4 linked regions of the Caenorhabditis elegans genome follow. The protein of the gene in region 4 purifies or fractionates together with the protein of the main gene of each other region. This does not show direct contact. Each region holds a gene or a part of one and is shown on either strand. Other genes may lie near its edges.

Region 1 (7,364 bases), on a different chromosome or scaffold from region 4:
TAGACGTTTTTTTCTAGTAATTTTTGTTGTTTTTGTTCGTTACAATAAATCTCATTTTTATTTTCTGGATTAATTTGATTACCAATCGTTTCCAGCGATTTTCACATATTTTTCCAGAATTTAATACAGATTAATATTTTCGAAAAATTTAAACATTTTCTTTTCACATTTTAATTCATCTCTATTCATTATGCAATACTCTTTTGGTTTTCAAGCATCCGACATTCCTCCGTTTCATTTATGTTTGCATTTCTGCTGGCATGAATGCATTTCATTGTGTCTCGATGAGAAAAAGGACAATTTCATGAGCTTATCAGTTACTTCGTTTTCAAAATTTTAATGTTGACCAGCCATTGATGTCATATTTTGTCTAAGAAGCTCAAGAACTATTATTTTTTGAAGCTTAATTTCGAAGAGCAACATTTTTTTTCATTAAAATTCAGCAGTCATTGTTCTTTAAAAAGTTTTGATTCTCGTTTTTAAACGATTTTTAATTCAGTCGAGAATTGAATAACTTCCCGATTTCCCGGCCACCATCGTTTAATACCTTTTCTTTATGAGACTAACTTCCAAGTATGCAAATTGCAAATCGACGCAAGGGGAATACACTCGCTCACTTCTCATCGAAATTCGAAACCTTTTCCCATTTTCTTTCATGTCTTTTTCGCTTTTCTCCTCTCTGCCCATTTCCATTTATTTCTCAAACACCGTTCAGTGAACACGAAAACCCTTACGGAAATTGTGTTGTAAGAATACAAAAACTTCCGTAGCATAGCGAGAAAGAGTCACCATTTTGTAGTGTTTGCCCCCGGTGGTATAGTTTGCACAAGTTTCTGAAAGAAGAAGAAGACACATTTGAGGTCTTATGCACATAAAAATCAATGTTAGACTATCTTTTTCACGTAGTTTTCTTTTGCAAAGTGGAAACTTCTCATTAAACACTTTTTGCTTTTCAATTGTCTGAACAAGTTTTCGATTAAACAGCTGTAAAGCTTTTGCAAGTTTCATGGTTTATGAACTATTTCGAATCGGTTACATTGCTGAAGTTTTAGTGTTTCTTGAATATGTCGTCACTACCAGGACTGGACCAAAAATCAAAAAGAATTTAAAGTGAAATACCAAAAAAAAAATCGTCGATTTGCGATTTTTGAAGGACTGTAAGTGACTTTTTTGGCTTCATTTAGGTCCCAAAAAACCTTTTTTTTCTCAAAAAATGTGACTCAAAATACCAAAAAAGTCTTAACCTGATCACTTCGCCTTCTCAACTCAAGCCATTTTTGCTGTTTAGTTCGAATATGGAACAAATCATAAGAATCTTGAGTACCTATATGCGATACCCGATTCATTTTCCTCTCTTCTAAATAACATCATTTCCTCTCTTTTTCCCTCTCTCTCTCTCTCTGTTTTTGTTTGTGACTCACTTTGTCCACAACGCGCGCGGAACCGGCTTGTTGCCACACACACACTGTGATGAAATATGCGGGAGGAAAGCTTTTCGCCTAATAGTTGACTTACTTTTCATCTATATTCCTCAATTTTGCAACTAATAGATTGATTTGTCATGGTTTTGATTTCAGGGTTTTGAATATTCTTTGAAATTGGAATTTTTAACAAAAATGCAAATTATGTGCCAAGTCATATCTCCTCCTCACACTTTTTCTATCACATGCCCCCAAAAAAATTAATTTTTTTCAGGAATGGATCATCGTGCTCAAGCGCGCGAGGTATTCGTTCGAGCTCAACTGGAGGCTGTTCAGAAAGCGATCACGAAAAATGAGGTTCCATTGAAACCAAAACATGCGAGAACCATAATAGTAGGAACACACAAGGAGAAATCATCTGGAATCTTCTGGCATACTGTAGGACGGATTCAGTTGGAGAAACATCCTGTACTCACTTGGAAGTTCTGTCATTTGGTGCACAAATTGCTTCGAGATGGACATCGAAAGGTTCCTGAAGAGACTTACAGGTGGGGTTTCTTTGAAGGAGTGATAATCTTAAATTCAATATTTTTCAGATATGTTAATCGATTCACTCAACTTTCTCAATTCTGGAAACATTTGAATACAAGTGGATATGGTCCATGCATTGAGTCATACTGTAAATTACTTCACGATCGAGTCACTTTTCACAACAAATATCCAGTTGTTCCGGGGAAGTTGGATTTGAATGATTCACAACTGAAAACATTAGAAGGAGATTTAGACAATATGTTTGAGATGACAATTGATATGTTGGATCAGATGGATGCACTTCTTGTATTGCAGGATAGAGGTTTGTAATGATTTTTTCAAGTCTGGAAAATTATTGAATTATTAATTTTCTATTTTTCAGTGTATGAAATGATGAATTCCCTACGCTGGAATTCTCTAATTCCACAAGGACAATGTATGCTTTCTCCACTGATTATTGCAATTCTGGATACCAGTAAATTCTACGATTATCTCGTTAAAATGATCTTCAAACTTCATAGTCAAGTTCCTCCAGATGCATTAGAAGGTCATCGTTCCAGATTCCGAACAATTTTCGAGAGAACTAAGAAGTTTTACGAAGAATCATCGAATCTTCAGTATTTCAAATATCTTGTTTCAATTCCAACATTGCCATCTCATGCACCGAACTTCCTTCAACAATCCGATCTTGAATCTTATCGAACACCTCATGCATATCTTCATTCGGAAGGTTCAGAAGATGGAACTTCTCTCAACGGACATGACGGGGAATTATTGAATTTAGCTGAAGCAGAGCCACAACAAGCGAGTCCATCGAGTCAGCCAGATCCTAGAGAAGAACAAATTGTTATGTTGAGTCGTGCTGTTGAAGATGAAAAATTTGCGAAGGAACGACTCATTCAAGAAGTAAGAGTTGATTATTAAAATATAGTTTTTTTTTAAAACTATCATAAAAATAAACAAAATACAACATTTTTTACTATTTTCCAGGCGCGCAGCCGCATCGAACAATATGAGAACCGTTTATTGCAAATGCAAGGAGAATTTGATCACGCAAAACGAGAAGCTGATGAGAATCGAGAGGAGGCACAGAGACTGAAGAGTTCGTTTTTTTTTTTGGAGAATGATATTTTTCTCAAAATTAGTTGGAAGTCAGATTATTATTAATTAGATATATTTTCAGACGAGCTTGCACTTCGTGATGCATCAAGAACTCAGACAGACGATGCACGTGTAAAAGAAGCAGAATTGAAAGCAACGGCAGCTGAGGAAAGATTTAATAAAATGAAAGGAGTTTACGAAAAGTTCCGAAGTGAACACGTTTTAGCGCTCACAAAATTAGGAGATATTCAAAAACAACTAGAAGCTAGTGAAAAATCGAAATTCGATAAGGACGAAGAGATTACTGCTTTGAATCGAAAAGTAGAAGAAGCTCAACGAGAAGCTGGAAGAGCTTTGACAAAGGCGGAGGGTGATGCTGGAGCAGTTGATGAGATGAGAACTCAATTGGTTAAGGCTGATATTGAAGTTGAGGAGCTGAAAAGGGTAAGATTTGAATTTTTTAAAGTTTTATATACATTCAAAATTCGGAAACTCCTAGACTTTTTTTATAATTAAATTTATCATAATAAATTCACAAATTTTTAAAATTGAAATTCTCACTTTGAGAGAAAGGGTGTCATCGAAAAAATAAACATTCCCGAAAATCAAAAAATCGAAGAAAACATTTTTTTTTTCATTCGAATTTCGTTTATTTTGATGAGAAAAACATAAGAAAATATATATTTTTTTCTTAAAAAAAAACAAAAATGGTTTAAAAAATTGAATGCTGTTTTTTTGTTGAAAAATTAGAAAATCTGAAAAAAAAAACAAAAATTTCCGATTTTCTGGAAAATCGATATATCGAAAAAATTACATTTAAAACTAATTTTGTTTAACACGAGGAAACTAAGTAAGTTTCTATGAAGACGAAAAATGGCTAAAATTTTAAACTATTTTTCGAAAAATCGGAAAACGAAAGTCGAAAAACCGAAACTTGGAAGTATAAAGCATATTTTATGAAGAGAAAATGCAATTCGCTCCTCGCGATTTAAATGTCAAAAATGAATCATGTAAAAACATTATCACTGTATAGATATTAAAAAAAACAATTTATTTCTTACAGACAATCGATCATCTTCGAGAATCACACGCCAATCAATTAGTTCAATCATCTGCTGAAGAAACTAATAAGATCCGGCTCGCTGAGTTAGAAGTAGCCAGTAAGAAATTTTGGATAAATGTATTTTTTTTAAATACTTTAATTTTCAGAGGAATCTGGTGTTGGAATTACACAAATGTTTGATCATTGTGAAGATGCTCTACAGAATGCTACGTCTATCACTTATCCTCCACGTAAGTCATCATCAGGGCTGAGTCAGAAAAAAGTGTTATTTTCAAAATCGTGACCGAAAAAAGTTTTCTACCGGAAAACCGAAACATTTAAAAAAGTTTAGAAAATTAACAAAAAATAAATTCTATCAAATTTTGTTTATTTTGAATCGAAAAAACCTTATAAAATTTCATTTTCTAAAGTGAGTAAAAATGGCCAAAATTTAAACATGATTTTCGAAGAATCAACATTTATTTTTAAAACGAAACATGTTGAAACGTTATTTTTAAAAACTTGAAGAATATGATCAAAAATGCACTCGTATTAAAATTTCGAGTATTTTTTCATTAAAAAAAGTAAAATTAAAACATTGATTGTATTTTCCAAAAATACTTTTCTCCCCAAAAACACTAAAACCAACAATTTGGAAAAATTGAAAATTGTTTCAAGAAAACCACTTCAATTACTGAAATTTTCAGATCTCGCCCAGTCAGCAATGAATAATCTCGTCAATATTCTCTCGAATGAACGTCTTGATGAACCACTCGCTACAAAGGATAATGTTTTCGCTGGACATCTTTTATCTACAACTCTCTCTGCTGCAGCTTCAGCTGCTTACACTGCAAGTATCGAGAGTTATGAAGGTGTAAATGATCAGTGCAAGAAGGTTCTGGCTGCTGCAAAAGTTGCATTTTCTGATGACAGTGCTCTTTCAAGAGCTGATAAAATGAAATTACTTAGACAAGATATACAAACATTGAATTCATTGATGATATCACTTCCTCTTCAAACAGATATTGATAAAGATGTTGTTGGAAATGAATTGGAACAAGAAATGAGACGAATGGATGATGCTATTCGAAGAGCTGTTCAAGAAATTGAAGCAATTCAAAGAAGAGCTCGTGAGAGTTCAGATGGAATTCGTCTTGAAGTGAATGAATCGATTCTTGCAAATTGTCAAGCTTTGATGTCAGTAATCATGCAATTAGTAATTGCATCAAGAGAACTTCAAACTGAAATTGTCGCAGCTGGAAAAGCAGGAGGATCGCCTGCAGAATTCTACAAAAGAAATCATCAATGGACAGAAGGACTCTTGTCAGCTGCAAAAGCTGTTGGTGTGGCTGCTAGAGTGTTGGTCGAGTCAGCTGATGGTGTTGTGACTGGAAAAGGAAAATTCGAGCATTTGATTGTTGCTGCTCAAGAGATTGCAGCTTCAACTGCACAATTATTTGTTTCCAGCAGAGTAAAAGCTGACAAGGATTCGTCAAAGTGAGTTTTTTGGAAATATTATCCGATGCCAAAATTTGAGGTTTTCTCGAAAATTTAAAATCTCGAAGTGACCGTTTTTCTTGTAATTCAAAAGATAGTATGCATTTAAGGAGTACTGTAGTTGTCAACTTCTTGTTGTGGCTCAGATTTCATTGGTTTTTCCAAAACACAAACAACGACATATCAATAAGAAAAATCGTCAAAAATTAAAGCTATGTTTCGAAATATTGGAAGAACAATAATTTTTTGAAAATCAGAAAACTTTTAAAACAAGTATTTTTTTCATTTTTCTGAACGAAAATTTTCAAGGAAAAAGAACTGATTTTATTTCAGTAGTTTCTAAAACTTAACCGAATTTGTTTCTAAATTCGACAATATTTTCAGATTGGACGCTCTCTCGGTTGCTGCAAAAGCCGTTAATCAAAATACTGCCCAGGTGGTTGCTGCTGTCAAAAACGGTCAAACAACTCTCAACGATGAAGGTTCACTTGATTTCTCATATCTTTCGTTGCACGCTGCGAAGAAAGAAGAAATGGAATCACAAGTGAAAATGCTGGAATTGGAGCAAAGTTTGAATCAAGAAAGAGCAAAGTTGGCGGCTCTCCGCAAGCAGCATTATCACATGGCTCAGTTGGTTGCGAACAAGGTTAGTTTTTAAAAAATAGGAACATGTATTTCCTTAAAACCTGAAAACATTAACAGAGCTAATAGAAAACTGACTATCGAATTAGGAATCAAGGAATTTAAAGGTTTGAGCACTCCCCCCAAAAGCTCTCTTTTAACATCACTCCCTATGTTTGTATCCCGTGCACATTTACCAAGAATACAAAAACAAGCTACACCTTATTTGAAAATTATTACAACTCGTTTAAATCAATTTAAATTTCAGGAAGGAGAAGAAGCTCAGGAATAACCAACAATCTATCCGAGTATTTCCAAAATTGTACAATCTTACTCAAATTGCTTTTTTTTTATACCATATTTATATACATCAATGCCTTACCCTCTTTTTTCACTAAAATCTCAAATTGCTCCACTGCTTAATTTGTTTATACCAATTTTATCGTCCCACTTTGAGAAACTAGTCACTCCCAGTGTCCTGTGATTTCGGTGCCCATCCAACAGTCTATAGAGAAATGTTTTATAATTTGTAAATGTTTGTAAATCTCTTATTCTAAAAGCATCCCCCTTAAATTGTAAGAAACAACTTCTGAATATGAAATTGATTTCCAAAAATATTTATTTATCCGGAACACAATTCACAACTTTCTATACATTTGAGAAGAAGAGCATTCGAACCCCGTAATGAAATTCAGGCGATGGGACGGTGGGAGAGAGAAGTAAGGGAGGAAATATGTATATTTGACACAAAAGGGATCGATTTACAAAAATAAGCTACTTCTATGGGACCTATAAAAACGAGATCTTCAAAAAACGTATGGAACATCCTTTTGTGCTCCACTGCTTAACTTCTACAAAAAAGAGATTCCTGATTCAGGAAGAAGGAGGTCGTGGAGTTGTGCCACGTGGATTTTCACTAACATTTCCACCAGACGATGAGCTGCTCGGTGGACCGATGACAAGATCTTCATCTTCTGTGAACGACTCGTTTCCATTTTCAGACTGCGATGATTCCTCCTCGTAATAATCGGTATCTAAAATGGCTCGTTATTATCATCTAAACCTTCAAAACTTTTATATCACTCACCATTAAACAAATCATCATCTAATAGGAAATGATCGCCGGCTCTTCCAACTGGTCCATTAGCTGA
Region 2 (3,703 bases), on a different chromosome or scaffold from region 4:
CATTCTCTGACTGGAAAACGGCAAAAAAACTGATTTAAAACAATTTTTAACAGGAAAAAAGAAAAAAAAGTACCATAAACTTTTTTGCGCGCCGAGACCCATCTGAACAAATCTGTGCGCCTTTAAGACGGAAATCTTGGAAAATTACGGGAAATTAATAGTTTTTTTCCCGATTTTATTTGAAAAAACCTGAAAATTTTTCGATTTTCTAATAAAAAAGGCCTATATTTGGGGTTTTCTGAAAAAAATTCGACTATTTTCCAATTTTCTCGGAGAAAATCTTAAAATTTTCAATTTTTCTCAATTTCCAGGCTCTTCCAGTCTCCCAACTTCCCGAAGAGGTTCGAAGTCACTTGGCACGTTGCCAGATAACTGCTCCAGAAGTCGTACACGATACCGTGGCGTTTTTGTTGTCAGTGATGGGATCCAAGCAGACAAATTATCGGTAGAGCATAGAGATTTCGCGTATTTCGCGCACAACATATTTGACGCGCGCAAAATATGTTGCGTTACCGTAATAAAATGATGAAATCGGAATTTTAATGAATATTTTAAAGCAGCACAAAAAGTAAAACTGGACGCAATATAAATATAATTACATGGAAAAAAAAATGGGAAAAGTGAAAAAATTTTGAGCCAGATACAACAATAATTAATCGATAATTCACAAATTAACACCCTGTCCAACGAGCCCCTTGTCCATGAATCGTCTTCTCGCGAAACAGAGCCACCACTTGCTCGGACGATCTTGGGGATCCGGGAACGCGAGATCACACAGACGGGCGCCGATTTCTTGGCGAATTTGTTGCAAATAGGCACGCATTTCGTCCTCGTCCGGTTTCGATTGGGGCGCCTTGTACATGCTGTTCAGTGGGAATCCATTTTCACCGGGAATTGGAAGCAAATGACTGAGAGCCAAGGCGTGAAGATCCTTTTGGCCGGCTATCTTGTTTGGGCTCTGAAAATTTGAAAAAATTTGCAAAAAAAAAACATGTTTTTACGCTTTATTTCACTCAAAATAGCCCGAAAAGACCGAATTTTGTAACTAGAATTTTTTTTTATAATTTCCAAAATTTTGAGAAAAAAAAAAGTTGGATTTCTCCGAAGAAAATCGGAAAAATTTCGGATTTTTTCAGTGAAAATCGAAAAATTTTCGGATTTTTTCAGGGAAAACCAGAAAAATTTTGGAATTTTCAGGGAATATTAAACAATTTTTAGATTTTTTTCAGGGAAAAACCAAAAAAATTCGATTTTTTCAGAGAAAACCTTAAAATTTGTGGATTTTTCAGAGAAAATTGAAAGAATTTGGGATTTTTTCAGAGAAAATCGAAAATGTTTCGAATTTGAAATTTTCTACTTAAAAAAATCTGTTTTCGGTAGGAATGTTCAAAATATCCATTGAAATTCGGTATGTTTGGGTCTTTTTTTCTTATTTTTCAATCTAAAAAGTAGGTTTTTTTCGTGCAAAATCCGTACTTTTTGCAATTTTCTGAGGCACTCGGTGATGTAGAAGATGAGATAGATCATTGTACGGTCCGCGGGACCTTTGATCTGAAAATTTCTCAATTTTAATAGGGAAAAATCTCGAAAATCAACCTCAAATTCGCGGAAAAAGATGTTCGGCTTGAAGTAGGTGAGCGCTTCGTCGATGATGTCATCCTGATTGGTTTCTGCAATAATTTTAATATATAATATAGGTTTTTTCAATCAATTTTTGAAGACTTACGAGGCGCTGGACCCTTGAAATTGGTTCGAATCGGAAGTTTTCCCATATTTGTGTTGCCCAATGGCAAAACTTTGAGTTCAGTGTCGAATTTTGAGTGGTATGCCGGCATTTCACTGAAAAATAAGTGTTTTGTTTGGAAAAATGCATAGAAAACGGCTTATTTTCGGATACCCGAGGGGGGGGGGGGGTAAGTACATAATGAGTCACTGCGGCTGCGAAAAAAAATCGATAAATTGTGAAATTCGAGTTTTAAATTAAAATATAAGTATTTTATTCGATAAAAATGCAGTTTTTGAAGCGATAATGTCGTTGCGGACGCGAAAATTAAAGTAAAACCCGAAAATACACTTTTATTCGGAAATTCGTGTTAAAATATATGAAAACTTGGAATTAATATGATTAATATCAGCTTACAAGTTTCCTATAATCAGATATTTAAGAAAAATTGGAAAAAATCAAAGATTTTCTGCTTTTTAAACGTTTTTTCTGATGAAATTCTCTCCAGGAACGGAAAAATAAATAATAATCTCGTGTAAGTTTACGGTAAACAAGGCGCGACATCGGAATATCGGAGCATCGTTTGGAAATTTTTAATGAAATTTCGCGATTTTTTGCGAAAAAAACGATAAATTCAGGGAAATTCCAGCTGCAAAACAAAGCAAAAAACGTTAAAAATGTATGATTTATAATCAATAAGTCAAAATATCACAGTGAAAATGTGCAAAATGTATAAAAATCAATCCCTCATCGCTTTCTTCTGAGTTTGCTCGATTTGCTCATGAAAACTTTGTTTCGAGAGCTGTATATAGTCGATCGGGGAGATTGTGAGCAGCGAAACCCAACGTCCCAGCGATTTGAACGAGTCGGCGGCGAAGATGAAGCTTCGAGCAGTTCTGGAAAAAAATCGGATAATTTTAGGAATTTTCAATCGATTTTTCATCGATTTTCGATAAAACCGATAAAAATTCAGTTTTTTTTTGGAATTTAGTATTAATTTTTCGTGTTGAGACCCGGAAAAAACGCACGATTTGAATTTGATTTCAAAAGTGAAATCCTTGCCAATCTTATTCTCATCACATAATTCGATAAAACAGTCTTCAATAATTAGTAGTAAAAATGGAGGAGCCGACGTCTCCTCTTCGGTTTTATTGTACACGAAAAGCATATTGGCCTTGAGAACACCCCAGCCGGCACGCCATTGGAAATCCTGAAAAAAACTTTTTTTTTTAATAAAAAAATCATTTTTTTGATTTTTTAAATTTTCAAATTACTCCAAATTTCCCATATTTTGTTTTAAAAAAATTCAAAAAATTTCAAAAATCTTATATTTCAGCTTGAAAGCGCGAAACAATTTTCAAACTCGCGCCAGAAAAATTCTCATTGGAGCGCGCCATGCCATGTCGATTTACGAGGGGTTTTTTTGCAGCCAAATTCGGTTTTTTAAACCAGTTTTCTTCATTTTCTTCGGTTTTTTTAAATTAAAATGTGTTTTTTCGTGTAAATTTGGGTATTTTATTATTTTAAAAATTGAAAAATCAGTAAGTTTCGTTCACTTTACACGAAATAAATTATATTTCAAAAAAAAAAAATCAAAGAAACTAAAATTTGCAAGTTTCTTTGATTTTTTTGTTGAAAAATTTTTTTTTTCAAATTTTAAAAATCATAAAATTATTTCACATTTTCACTTAAAAAAACGCGAAAAATATAGAAAACTTGTTGAAAAACTGAAATTTGCAAACAAAATCTCTCGTAAATCGACGCGACATGGCGCGCTCCAATGATAATGGCCCTGGCGGATTTTAAGCTGAAATATGATAAAAAATTTCATTTTTTTATTTTTTGGAACTTTTTTGCAATTCCACTTTTATTACGGAACGACTAAATTCTGAAAATGCGTACCACGCAACATATTTGACGCGCAAAATATCTAGATACAGTAAAAAATATTTTGCGCGTCAAATATGTTGTGCAGTGCGC
Region 3 (6,353 bases), 6.1 Mb from region 4:
ACAAAATATTGAATTTTTGCTAGTTTTCTAAAAACAATCGTTTTTTTTTCAATTTTCTGAAAAAAATTCGAAAACTGCCCCGTTTTTCCAGTATTTCGAAAAAGGATATTTTTTAGAACAAAATTGATTTTTCTTTTTTTCTGCAAAGAAAAGATTTTTCGCTTTTTCGATTTTCCGGAAAACCGAAAATGTTAGTTTTACAATTTTTTATTCAAATTTTGGTTTTTTTTTTTAATTTTTTGAAGAAAATTATATTTTTTCATCAGGATAGACAAAAATTGATGATTTTTAAAGTTTTGTTTCTAATTTTTCTGAAAATCGAAAAGAATTCGTTTTCCAATATTTTGAGAAAATAGCTCAAAATTTTGGAGTTTTTCCATTTTTTAATAATTTTTTTCTGAAAAAACCGAAAAAATGAATGATTTTTCTATGAACCTGTTAAAAAACTACAAAAAAAACAAATAAAAAATGGAAATTTCAACCATTTGGCCAACTAGGAGATATTTGAAGGTAAAAAAGCCACGAAAATTCATTCAAATTAAGAAAAAAGAAAGTGACGGAACAGTGTAACAACTTGAGGGGTAGTCAAACAACAACAAAAAAAAAGGATAACGAATAAAAAAATAGTAACAAAATTTCAAAAAAACGGGGATTATTGAATAAGAGCCTCGATTTGTTTGCGAAGAGAACGACACTTGATTTCCATGACTTTACAGGCTTCAACCACCAATTCAGACGATTTCAGAGCTCCAGTCGACTCTACACTGACTGAAAAAAAAACTAAAATTGCCGGAATTCAAAATTTCCGGCAAATCGGCAAACCGGCAAATTGCCAATTTGCCGAATTTGCCGGTAAAAATTGTGAAAAATTTTTTGTGTGTTTTTTTTTCAGTTTAAAAAAAAAGAAATTTGAAATTTTGGCAATTTTTTTAAATGGTTTTTTGGTTTTTTTTTGTATTTTTGAAGAAATTTTCATTTTTCTCATTGAAATATAATTTATTTTTAAATAAGTTTATAGTTTTTCCCTCTTTTTTCCTACGTTTTTTTCGGTTTTTTTTTTATATTTAAAAAAAATCGACTTTCTCAACCAAAAAAATTAGAAAACTTGGGAAAAATCGAAAAATTTCTGACGACGAAATTTTGTGTTTTTTTTTCGTTAAATTTTTTTTTCTCATCAGTTTCGATAAAATTGATTTATGGGGTTATTCAAGTAGTGTCGGAAAATTAAAAAGTGTAAAAAAATTTTTGCGAAAAAAAAAAAAAATTGCTACATTACTTGAATAACCCCATTAGAAAAAATCATATTTAATGGTTAATTTTAACCGATTTTTACTAATTTTCCACAAAAATTCGGGCCCTTGAAAAGTAGAAAATTTAGGATTTTTGTAATTTTATCGGAAAAAAGTTCGAAAAAATGGGTTTTTTTTGTGAATTTTTCAGAATTTTTCGAATTTTCCCCAGTTTCTGCTCAATTTTAATTTTCTGAACATTTTTTTTAAAAATTTTTTCGTTTTTTTTAAGTTCGAAAACTCAAAAATTTTCTTTTCCCAATTTCCAATTTTTCAACTTTTCGTTTTAAAAATTTTTTCAAAAAAAAAATCGAAAAACGGCACGTCTGTACCATGTTTCTGGCGAAAATTCTTTTTTTTTCGAAAAAAAAAGCGAAAAAAAATATATAAAAACTCCGGCTCCAAAAAAAATTACTTATACATTTTCCAAAAAAACCACTCTCAAAATTAAAAAAAAGAGTTAAAATTTGGCAAAAATATTTAAAATTTTCAAAATAAGGTTTCAAACTTTAACAAAATTGGGGTTTGTTTTTCGACAACTTTTCGTGTATTTTTTTTTGGAAAAAAAACCAAAAAAATGCGAAAAATTCATGAATTTCAGTTTTTTTTTTCGAATTCAGCCCTGCCACTAACAAATGAAATGCTGTTTGTTCTTTCCCAATTGAACAACTTTCGACAGATCTTCGTGGCGGAACACGTTACGACTGCACGTATCCTTGCGAGCATCCTTGACAACAGCAATTCGTTTGGCTGAAATTTTAAAAAAATTGGTGTGTTTCCTAAAAATTGATTTATGATCTACCTCCTTTCTTCTCGATAGCAATAACTCCCTCGCTGAATACTGATTTGAGACGTTCGGCAGCTTCACCCGAAATTTCGGCGTTCAAGCGGATCGTTGGAAGCAGTCTGGAATGAAAAGAAATTTTTTGAAAAATTGGAAGAATTTGAAGGTCAAATTGGCAAACCGGCAAACCGGCAAATTGTGTTTTTGCACATTTTTTTTGGAAATTTCAGATTTTCAATTTCAATCGGCTAAATTGTACGCATCCTATAAATGTTCCTACATGTATTTTGAAAAGTAGGCAAATTCTATGAAAATTTCCGGCAAACCGGCAAATCGTCAATTTGTCAAAAATGAAAATTCCGGCAAATCGGTAAACCGGCAAATTGCAGAAAATGAAAATTCCGGCAAATCGGTAAACCGGCAATTAACCGAAATCGAAGTTTCCGGCAAATCGTCAAACTGGCAAATTGCCGAAAAAGAAAATTTCCGGCAAATCGACAAATCGGCAAATTGCTGAAAATGAAAATTTCCAGCAAATCGCCGAAAATGAAAATTTCCGGCAAATCGACAAATCGGCAAATTGCTGAAAATGAAAATTTCCAGCAAATCGCCGAAAATGAAAATTTCCGGCAAATCGACAAATCGGCAAATTGCTGAAAATGAAAATTTCCAGCAAATCGCCGAAAATGAAAATTTCCGGCAAATCGCCGAAAATGAAAATTGCCGAAAATAAAAAAAAATTGGCAATTTGTCAAATTTGTCGACAAAAAAATTCACCTCTGGCTTGAAATTTTCGAACTTTTTTTTCCACAAAATTACAGAAAACAGTCTAAATATACTGAATATAGGTAGATGTACAAAAATTATTTAACTTCCCCAAAATATCTCGTAGCGAAAACTACAGTAACTCTTTAAAAGCTACAGTAGTCATTTAAAGAATTACTGTAGTTTTCGCTACGAGATATTTTGCGCGTCAAAAATTTTGTGTAATACGCATTCTCAGAATTTGGGGTCCCGTAAAACCGAAAATATATTATATGAATTATAATTTTTTTCCCCCCAATTTTTCACTTTTTCCGAGAAAATCGAAAAACGAAAAATTTTCAATTTTCCGGAAAACCGCAAAAATCAAAAGAAAATATTTCAGCAGCTTCAAAATTCACACCTATAGGACGCAGTAGCAACCGGTGAGAACTTTGCATGATCCCGTCCGATTCCCTTGACCGCATGGCAACTGGCTTCAATTTCCTGTCCAGGACGAAGCTTGGCAACGAGAATATCATCAGAAACCATACGTGGATGGGCTTCTTCGGTGAATTGCGTCTTCTGATCAGCAATCGGTACCCATTCAAAAGCACGTGAGTAGACCGAGCTATTGTGATAAAGCTGCTTCGGATCGGTAGCCGTCGGCACCGCATTTCGATTCTTCGTACACGAAACATTAATCTTGAAGATCAAATTTTTCGCGGGATCTCCCTCGGGCTCCTCGTCACAATCCACTCCCTTCTCATTGATTCCAACGACTTTTTCCTTTGGAAACTGAAATCCACGTGGATCCACACGAAGCGGCAGAAGACCCAAACGATGGCAGAGTACTTCATCTTGAATTACAGAAGTATTCTGATAGAGATAAATCTTCTCGAGAGCCATCGTTGGCACTTCGGCGATGAGCACACGGCGAAGAGCATTTGCAATTGGAGCTTCAATGCGAGTAATATCAAATTCCAATGTCATTCCATCGTCGGATTCATTGACCATTGCCACTTGGATTTGATCGCAATACTCGTTGATATCGAATTGTTTTGTATCGTCGTATTCGACATAATCGGTGCATTCGTCGTAGGTCTGGAATTGAAGAAGAATTTTTGGAAAATTTAAAAAAATAAAAATTTCGGCCGAAAAGCAAAAAATCGAATTTCTTCAAAAAAAAAAAACAAAAAAAAATATTGACCAGAAATGTCGGTTTTTTGGTTTTTTTTTCCTTTTTTTTTTGAGACGAAAAAATTGGCAAAAAAATTTTCCCGTGGTGGAGAGTTGAACTCAAACTGCTGCGAGTGAATATAAGCATTGACTCCATCTTCGATTTGCTGTTCAAGCGTGGGCGTTTTTAGCTTCTTGCTCTTCGGTCCGGAGGACATCGCGACAACGACGTTACGCGTGGTGAAAAATACACGCAATCCGCTTTTTTTTTGTTCATTTTTTCTTTGGTTTGTGTTTTTTTTTTCCAAAAAGTTGAAAAAATCGAAAGTTAATTTTTTCTTGGTTTATCTCACAATTTTAAATTTTTTCAATTTTTTTTGAAAAAAAGTAATCTTTCACTAATTTCCGGCAGTTGATAAATCGCCGCCTTTTTTCGTAAATTTGTATAACAATTTTTTTCGGAAAAATAACGATTTTCAATAAAAAATTGGAATTTTTTAAAATTTTTCTGGACGAAATTTTAAAAAAATACGGAAAATGCTTTTGCCGCCTGATTTCCTAACGAGACCCAACGTTTGGGGGCGGAGCGCTCTCGTTTCCCAATGGAGCGCGATTGCATCCTTGAAATATTCAAAAAATCCTACATTGAGCACAACTTCCTCTTTCATCTCGATCTCATCACTGTGATAGGTAGCCTGCTTGCTAGTTGCCGCCGCTTTTTTGACCATTTTTGCCTGGAAATTTTTTGATTTTTTTCGCCTGAAAACTCTATGGAAAGATATAAAATCGCTGGGAAAACGAAAAAAAAAACAAAAAAATGGAAAAAAACATTTAAATCGATATTTTTTTGAATTTAGCATTAAAAATAAACCCAGAGTCCCCAGAACAAGAGAGAAAAAAAAGAAAAACCAACAAGTAAATAAATAAATAATAAAAATGCGAAAAGAAAAAAGAATAGAATCACATTTTCAAGGAATCATGGATATTTACAACCAGCCATAAATTGGAAAAAAAATCAGGAAAAAGCAGGGAAAAAAAGTGATTAAAGCATAGATATTACTAGAAGAAAAAGGAAATTTTTGGGCAAGATTTTTTGAAAATCTCGTATCGATTTTTTGTGGAGCATTTAGCGAGGCTGGTCATCCGTCCAAATTCCGATCTGAAAATAAAATTTTAATGTCAAAAATATTGTCAGGTCGCTCTACCGCACACGAAAATGGCGGGAAAATATTTTTTGAAAATTTGTGACGTCACACAGCGCATTTTGAATAATTGCTTTTGTTCAATTTAAGCGCCGATTTTCGTGAAATTTTTTTAAAAACTGGCTCATTTTAATTTATAAAATTTGATATTTTACAAAAATTCTAAAATTTAGTGGAGAAATTGAAGCAAAATACAATAAAAATGAATAATTTCAATTTAAACAAAAATTTATTTGGAAAATCATTTTTAAAAAATTCACGGAAACTTGGTAAATGAACGGTTTAAATGGTTTTTCGAAAAAAAAAATTCGTTTCAATTGAAATTATTCATTTTTATTGTGTATTTTGCTTCAATTTTTCCACTAAATTTTAAGAATTTTGGTAAAATATCAAATTTTATAAATTAAAATGAGAAAGATATTATTTATTTATTTTTTTTTTAAGTTTGACAAAAATCGGCGCTTAAAATTAAGAAAATTATTCAAGATACGCTGTGACGTCACAAATTAAAAAAAAAATATTTTCCCGCCATTTTCGTGTGCAGTAGAGCGATGGGACATCCTGACACCACTTCAAAAAAGGCCTAAAAAACTGCAATTTTACCGTATATCTGAACCAAATGAGCACAAGATCTCGGCCCATTTGAAGCCAAGACCAAATTGGAGTAATCTTAGACCCTTCGATTTCAGTCCATCGAACTGAAACTTCTTTCACAGGGACCGTCCATCTTTCGCAAAGGAAGATGAGCTCAACGTCAAAAGCCCAGCGCTCAATGTGAAGTACTGGGAAAATCTGAAAAAAAAACGTTTTTTTTTTTTGGTTTTTTTTACTTTAATTTGACGAATTTTAGCTAAAATCTTAAATCAGGAATTGAAAATTTTCGGCAAATCGGCAATTTGCCGGAATTGAAAATTTCAGGAAAATCAGCAATTTGCCGGAATTGAAATATCCGGTAAATTGACAAATTGCCGTTATTGAAAATTTCCGGCAAATCGACAAATCGGCAAATTTCCGGAATTGAAAATTTCCGGCAAATCGGCAAACTTCCGGAATTGAAAATTTCCGGCAAATCAGCAAATTGCCGGAATTGAAAATTTCTGGCAAATCGGCAAATTGCCGGAATTGAAAATTTCCGGCAAATCGGCAAACTTCCGGAAT
Region 4 (5,112 bases):
TTTTCACAACTGATCGAGAATCGAAATCCAAAAAACATAGGTTCACCGACGGTTCAATAAACAAAAAAGTTTAAACTATTCTGAGAGTAAAGCAGCTATAAAAAGTTCCAATTTGGCTTCAACACAGACGAGACCTCCCCGTTTGATAGGTTGGTCAGGCGATGAAAGGACACTAAAACGACACCATTTTAGAAGTGCCGGTCGCTTCTGACGATTTCATCGACCACTGATTTATGTGGACCTTTTGGAAAGAAAGAGAAACCAATTAAAATAAATGAATTGAAAAGATTTAAATGTGATTATATGAATCAGTTAATAAATGAGTTGGAAAGAAAAAATCCGAATGTCGCAAATAAAGGAGTATTTCGGATGAAAGTAGTTGAAATAGAGGAGGACACGGGCCTGAAGATAACAATTATCCGTTATCAGGTGGTAGAGTATCCGTGTATCAAATGCGGGTCATCAATGTCGTCGTTTGTCTCTTTTTCTAATGCCCTTTTGCTGGATGATTTCGGTTTCATTTAATGGAAAAATGGAAGAAGGAATAAGAGGTGACGCAATTCAATTTCAAACCAAAAGTAAGTTGAAGAAGTGAATGAATTCAAAGTGGAAAATGTATTTACAACAGAGAATGATGGATTCAGGTGGTTGTTGGTTTGAAAGATAAACGTTTGAATGAGAGTGGGGGAGAATAGGATGCCTATAAAGAATAAATTAGTTAACAGGTAGGGGATTTTAAGAGAATTCAGAGAAACGGGGATAAATGAACATAAAGCACTTTTAAACATGTTAACACGAAAATAAAGTCACAATATTTAAGCTTTGATTCCAAGTTTGGCCATACATCTTGCAATACCACCCTCTTCATATTCTTTCTTTGAAACCCAAAAATCTTGATCACGATCCTTCATCAGATTTGCAAGAACAGCTCCTCCAAGGAAAACCATGTGCTTACGGCTTGGTGGGGCTTCTATACGGATTTTGAATTTCTGAAAATAAATAAATTGGAACATTGCTGGTAATTTTTTCAAGGTCGTAGCCACGCCCACTAAAGAAGGATGTAAGTAAACACTGGGGTGATGGGGCGGAAAACTAAGATGTTGAGTGAGTGTTCTTTTAGGAGACCTCACACGAAGAAATCAAATGCATTTAGTTAACACATCATCAAATCGTCATTGACGACCAAAAGCGCCATTCTTAAAAGGAATGGTCAAATAACCAAAAGTAAAACTACTACAGGAACACAAATATCTGGGAATGCGTAGAGTGCAACATATTTGACGCGCAAAATATTTCATAGCGAAAACTACAGTAATCCTTTAACATTGTCTAGTTTAATGAGCTTGATTTTTAAAATGAATTTCTTTTTGATCTGTTTTCTTAACTTTAATAATGTTCTATCAATAAATAAATGATTCAACTCAGCTAATCGAGCTCTTGAATCTACACAAGAACTATAGTAGTCATACAAAGGATTACTGTAGTGTTCGCTACGAGATATTTTGCGCGTAAAATATATTTCGCGATACGCATTTTCAGAAATTTGTGCTTTCGTAATACTTCCCATTCAAAAATTGGCATTACATAAAAATTGTTTTTTTTTTTTCAAAAAAACTTTTTACTTTTTGATTGATAATTATTTGTGGAAAAAATTTCAATTCTACTACCAACTGTTTTGAAACTAATCTTTAATCGATTTTTTTTGATTAAAAAAAAGACAGCCATAGTGGGCGAAAATAAAAAATTTTCAGAAATTTTCGAGTTATAAAAATTTTCGAAAATTTAGAAATTCGGCGACAAAAAATTTCGGCAATTACCGGGTTCAAAACTATTAGAAAAAATAACTATAAAAATTAACAAAAAAAATCAATTTCTACTGTAGTAAATGTGTTTTTGATGAAGAAATATAACTCAAAACGACCTGAATATTTTCAATTTTCTATTCGGTAATTGGAATTTATTTTTGATAATTCGAAACTTTGACAACTGCTGAATTTTGAAAAACTCAGCGATCGGCATTTTGACAATTGCCTAGTCTCAACATTATTCCGGCAATATCCTTGTGGCCGAATTTTCGGAAATTCGTTACCTGGAACGCGTCAGTATTTCCATGCAATACGCGATCCAAATACAGCTGTTTCAGTTCCTTCTCAAGACGGCTGGGCAATCCTGGATACATAGTGGTTCCACCGGAAAGTACGATATGCTTGTAGAAATCAAGGCGAGTATCTATAAAAGGGATTTATAATGGAAATGCACAATTTCATTTTTGAAATACCTATATCACTGGCTTGAATACATCCGAAAAGAAGTTCCGAGAGACCAGCTTTTTCAACATTAATCAGATGTGGTTGGAATAGAATTTCTGGAGCTTCGAATCGTTCACCTCCGAGACGAATCACACGACCATCAGGAAGAGTGTATTGTTGAGAAAGAACTGTAGTCTCTAGTGCCAAACGTTCTTCTTGCTCAACATCATATGCAATGTAACAAAGCTTTTCCTTCATTTGGCGAACAGTTTCAAAGTCAGCAGAGTGATTGAAGTTGTATCCACGTTGCAGAAGAAGCTGAAAACAAATATATGTTAGTTTCTAATAAACCATATTTTGTCACTATAGCAATCAGGAAAATAATTGAATTAATATGTAACATTTAAAAACTTACCTTGATAAGATACTTGGTAATATCTCTTCCTGCAATATCCAATCGTCTTGTCAAATGATGAAGAGCAAATCCTTCGTAAACAGGACAGATGTGGGTAACACCATCTCCGGAGTCAACTACAACTCCTGTCAAAAGACCTTGAGCATAAAGAGTGAGCACAGCCTGAAAATATAATCATTATGATTTTATCATGAGGATTAACTATTACCTGAACCGCCACATAGATAGAATTGAATCCATACTGCTCAAACATAACTTGAAACATTTTCTCACGATTGCTGTTCGGATTGAGTGGTGGTTCTGTCAGCAGCAGTTTACACTCTTTCGGGTCGATATCCAACTTTTCCGGTCCAAAAGTATGATCCCATACATGCGCCATATCATCCCAGTTTCTAACAATTCCGTTGTCCATGGGATAATTGATATCAAGCATTTGACGAAGCTGAGAGCACTCCTCGCCAACCATCAAATCCTGTGAGAAAACAGTTATAAGACCTTTCTGTGTAAAGTTTTACCTTAATTTCAATATTTCCAACTCTTTGTGTCGATCTCACGATTGGCCGACCGACCATTGAAGGGAATATATGAGCTGGGAAATTGGTTCCTGCATACCCGCATTTGACGAACTGCAAATACAGAATTTTTGAAAATAAAATGGGATAAAATTTTGCAACTTACACCTGTTCCGTTGTCAACGACAATCACCTTTCGCCCTTGCGAATCCATTTCGCCTGAAAATTGTTAAATCGATTGTGCGGGTTTCGAATGAGTCATAAAGAGAAGAAAAGTAAATAAATAGCAAATTTGCTTGCCAATCGATGAAACCGGTAAAAATTTCGTTTTGACACTGTCTTAGTTGGCTTAAAATAGAACAAAGTACGAACATTTAAGCAATATTTTACATTACTTAGATTTTAATTTAATGAACGAGGGTTTCTGGAAAGTAAATCTGACTATATTTAGTGGAGATCGCCGTCAAAATACGCGGAAGTCGATGGAAAAATGTTTCTACAATTTCGCGAGAATTTTTATGTTCTTCATAGAATACGAAAACAATTATAAGATTAAAATATACAGAAAAGAAATAAGGAAATTCTATTGAAATAAAAACATGACAGTTCTGTCTATAGTGGAGACGCAGGGAATTGGTTGTCGATGGAGCAGATTTGCAGCAAGAGTATCGTAGTGTAAAAACAGATTTAAAAAATCTAAATCATGAACCTTTGTTTTTTTTATTATTTTATTAGTTTTATTTATAACATTTATTTTTATTTACATGTTTACCATATTTATGATTTTTTTTACTTGTGTGATTAGTTTTTGGTAGAAATTTCTGAATATTTATGTAAAAAAACATTTTCAACATCTGTAATAAATAAGTTGCGATATGGATTGTACCGAATTATTTCCACATGAAACATGGCTTTTTATAATAAAGGCTCTTCCTCACATCCAAAATTTTAATTTCTCAGTTAATTTTAAGAAAAATGGGAAGAGACAACATAACAACTAGGATAGGTCATGTGTATATGGTAGTGTTCCTATCGTGATTGGAAATGATCACAATATAACGTCATTCTTCTGTTAATTCAATTTTTCTCTGTTTAGTAAACTTATTGAACTCTAAATACAAACTTCGCAAAGAGAGTGTTTCAATGATCGAACGCTTCGTTCAAAGTCTATGAATTACCATTGAATAGTGTAAATTACAACAAACATCACATCTTAACTTTCAAAAATTGTTCAATGAAACTTCCATTGTTTGTTGAACTGTCCCCCTCCTCCTCTACCTATCTCTTATTTATATTTAATGTCCTCTATTCTTCATTTCTTGCCATTTTTATATTCTTTTATCTCATTTAAATGTATTTTCAGACTATGAGTGTTTTCACAAATGTTGTTGGTGGTGCATTCAAGTTTTCCGATGGATACGAAATGCCAAAAATTGGTCTTGGAATCTCTCGAATTGAAACTCAACAAGATTTAGATGTCTCTATTGAAGCCGCTCTGAAATCTGGATATCGTCAATTTGACACAGCCAATCTCTACAAAAACGAAACGTTTCTTGGTAATTCCCTGAAGGTAAATTTAAACTGATTTCTGAAAAACTATTCAAACCTCTAAAATTTTAGAAATATCTACCACAATTTGGCTTGACACGTGAAGATGTGTTCATCACTACTAAAGTTCGTACTCTCAATGAAAATACTGTGGAGGAAACTGAGAAACAACTAGCCAATTCCCTTGCAACTTTGCAAACCGAGTAGGAAAATATTTGTTGAGTTATCATCAGAATTATTTCTATTTTCAGTTATGTAGATCTTCTTTTAATTCACTATCCACGTGACCGTGATACTGGAAACGATGATGACTACGAAATTAACAAAAGTAGAAGGAAAATTGTTTGGCAGACACTTGAAAAGGCAAAAGGTATGTTGGTTTCATGGT

Evidence for each region.
Region 1: the proteins of arx-2 (region 4) and hipr-1 fractionate together in Caenorhabditis elegans (co-fractionation; one large-scale study listed by BioGRID). This does not show direct contact.
Region 2: the proteins of arx-2 (region 4) and arx-5 fractionate together in Caenorhabditis elegans (co-fractionation; one large-scale study listed by BioGRID). This does not show direct contact.
Region 3: the proteins of arx-2 (region 4) and rpac-40 fractionate together in Caenorhabditis elegans (co-fractionation; one large-scale study listed by BioGRID). This does not show direct contact.

Annotation. Positions count from the first base shown.
Region 1 is NC_003281.10:8,718,507-8,725,870, forward strand, and holds hipr-1 (Huntington interacting protein related 1), read left to right. Parts: upstream 1-1,695; 5' UTR 1,696-1,697; coding exon 1,698-1,969; intron 1,970-2,017; coding exon 2,018-2,274; intron 2,275-2,334; coding exon 2,335-2,858; intron 2,859-2,942; coding exon 2,943-3,054; intron 3,055-3,135; coding exon 3,136-3,497; intron 3,498-4,116; coding exon 4,117-4,213; intron 4,214-4,262; coding exon 4,263-4,346; intron 4,347-4,802; coding exon 4,803-5,592; intron 5,593-5,976; coding exon 5,977-6,238; intron 6,239-6,294; coding exon of another isoform or gene 6,295-6,300; exon of another isoform or gene 6,301-6,481; coding exon 6,482-6,505; 3' UTR 6,506-6,826; downstream 6,827-7,364. Other genes in the region: nte-1 (Patatin-like phospholipase domain-containing protein ZK370.4), read right to left, coding at 7,087-7,247, 7,301-7,364. UniProt on the Caenorhabditis elegans protein: Regulates pre-synaptic vesicle recycling at neuromuscular junctions of mechanosensory neurons. Plays a role in maintaining a normal defecation cycle.
Region 2 is NC_003281.10:12,816,262-12,819,964, forward strand, and holds arx-5 (putative actin-related protein 2/3 complex subunit 3), read right to left. Parts: upstream 1,840-3,703; 5' UTR 1,836-1,839; coding exon 1,727-1,835; intron 1,671-1,726; coding exon 1,597-1,670; intron 1,552-1,596; coding exon 1,477-1,551; intron 959-1,476; coding exon 665-958; 3' UTR 528-664; downstream 1-527. Other genes in the region: BE10.4 (DUF148 domain-containing protein), read left to right, coding at 312-449; Y37D8A.25 (PH domain-containing protein), read right to left, coding at 2,463-2,619, 2,752-2,933. UniProt on the Caenorhabditis elegans protein: Functions as a component of the Arp2/3 complex which is involved in regulation of actin polymerization and together with an activating nucleation-promoting factor (NPF) mediates the formation of branched actin networks.
Region 3 is NC_003283.11:4,197,859-4,204,211, reverse strand, and holds rpac-40 (DNA-directed RNA polymerases I and III subunit RPAC1), read right to left. Parts: upstream 4,728-6,353; 5' UTR 4,722-4,727; coding exon 4,638-4,721; intron 3,919-4,637; coding exon 3,239-3,918; intron 2,196-3,238; coding exon 2,092-2,195; intron 2,040-2,091; coding exon 1,923-2,039; intron 769-1,922; coding exon 653-768; 3' UTR 516-652; downstream 1-515. Other genes in the region: algn-5 (dolichyl-phosphate beta-glucosyltransferase), read right to left, coding at 5,120-5,152, 5,799-5,987.
Region 4 is NC_003283.11:10,334,961-10,340,072, forward strand, and holds arx-2 (Actin-related protein 2), read right to left. Parts: upstream 3,396-5,112; 5' UTR 3,391-3,395; coding exon 3,343-3,390; intron 3,291-3,342; coding exon 3,180-3,290; intron 3,137-3,179; coding exon 2,873-3,136; intron 2,827-2,872; coding exon 2,665-2,826; intron 2,568-2,664; coding exon 2,279-2,567; intron 2,230-2,278; coding exon 2,090-2,229; intron 990-2,089; coding exon 816-989; 3' UTR 503-815; downstream 1-502. Other genes in the region: K07C5.2 (NADP-dependent oxidoreductase domain-containing protein), read left to right, coding at 4,543-4,746, 4,797-4,927, 4,976-5,094.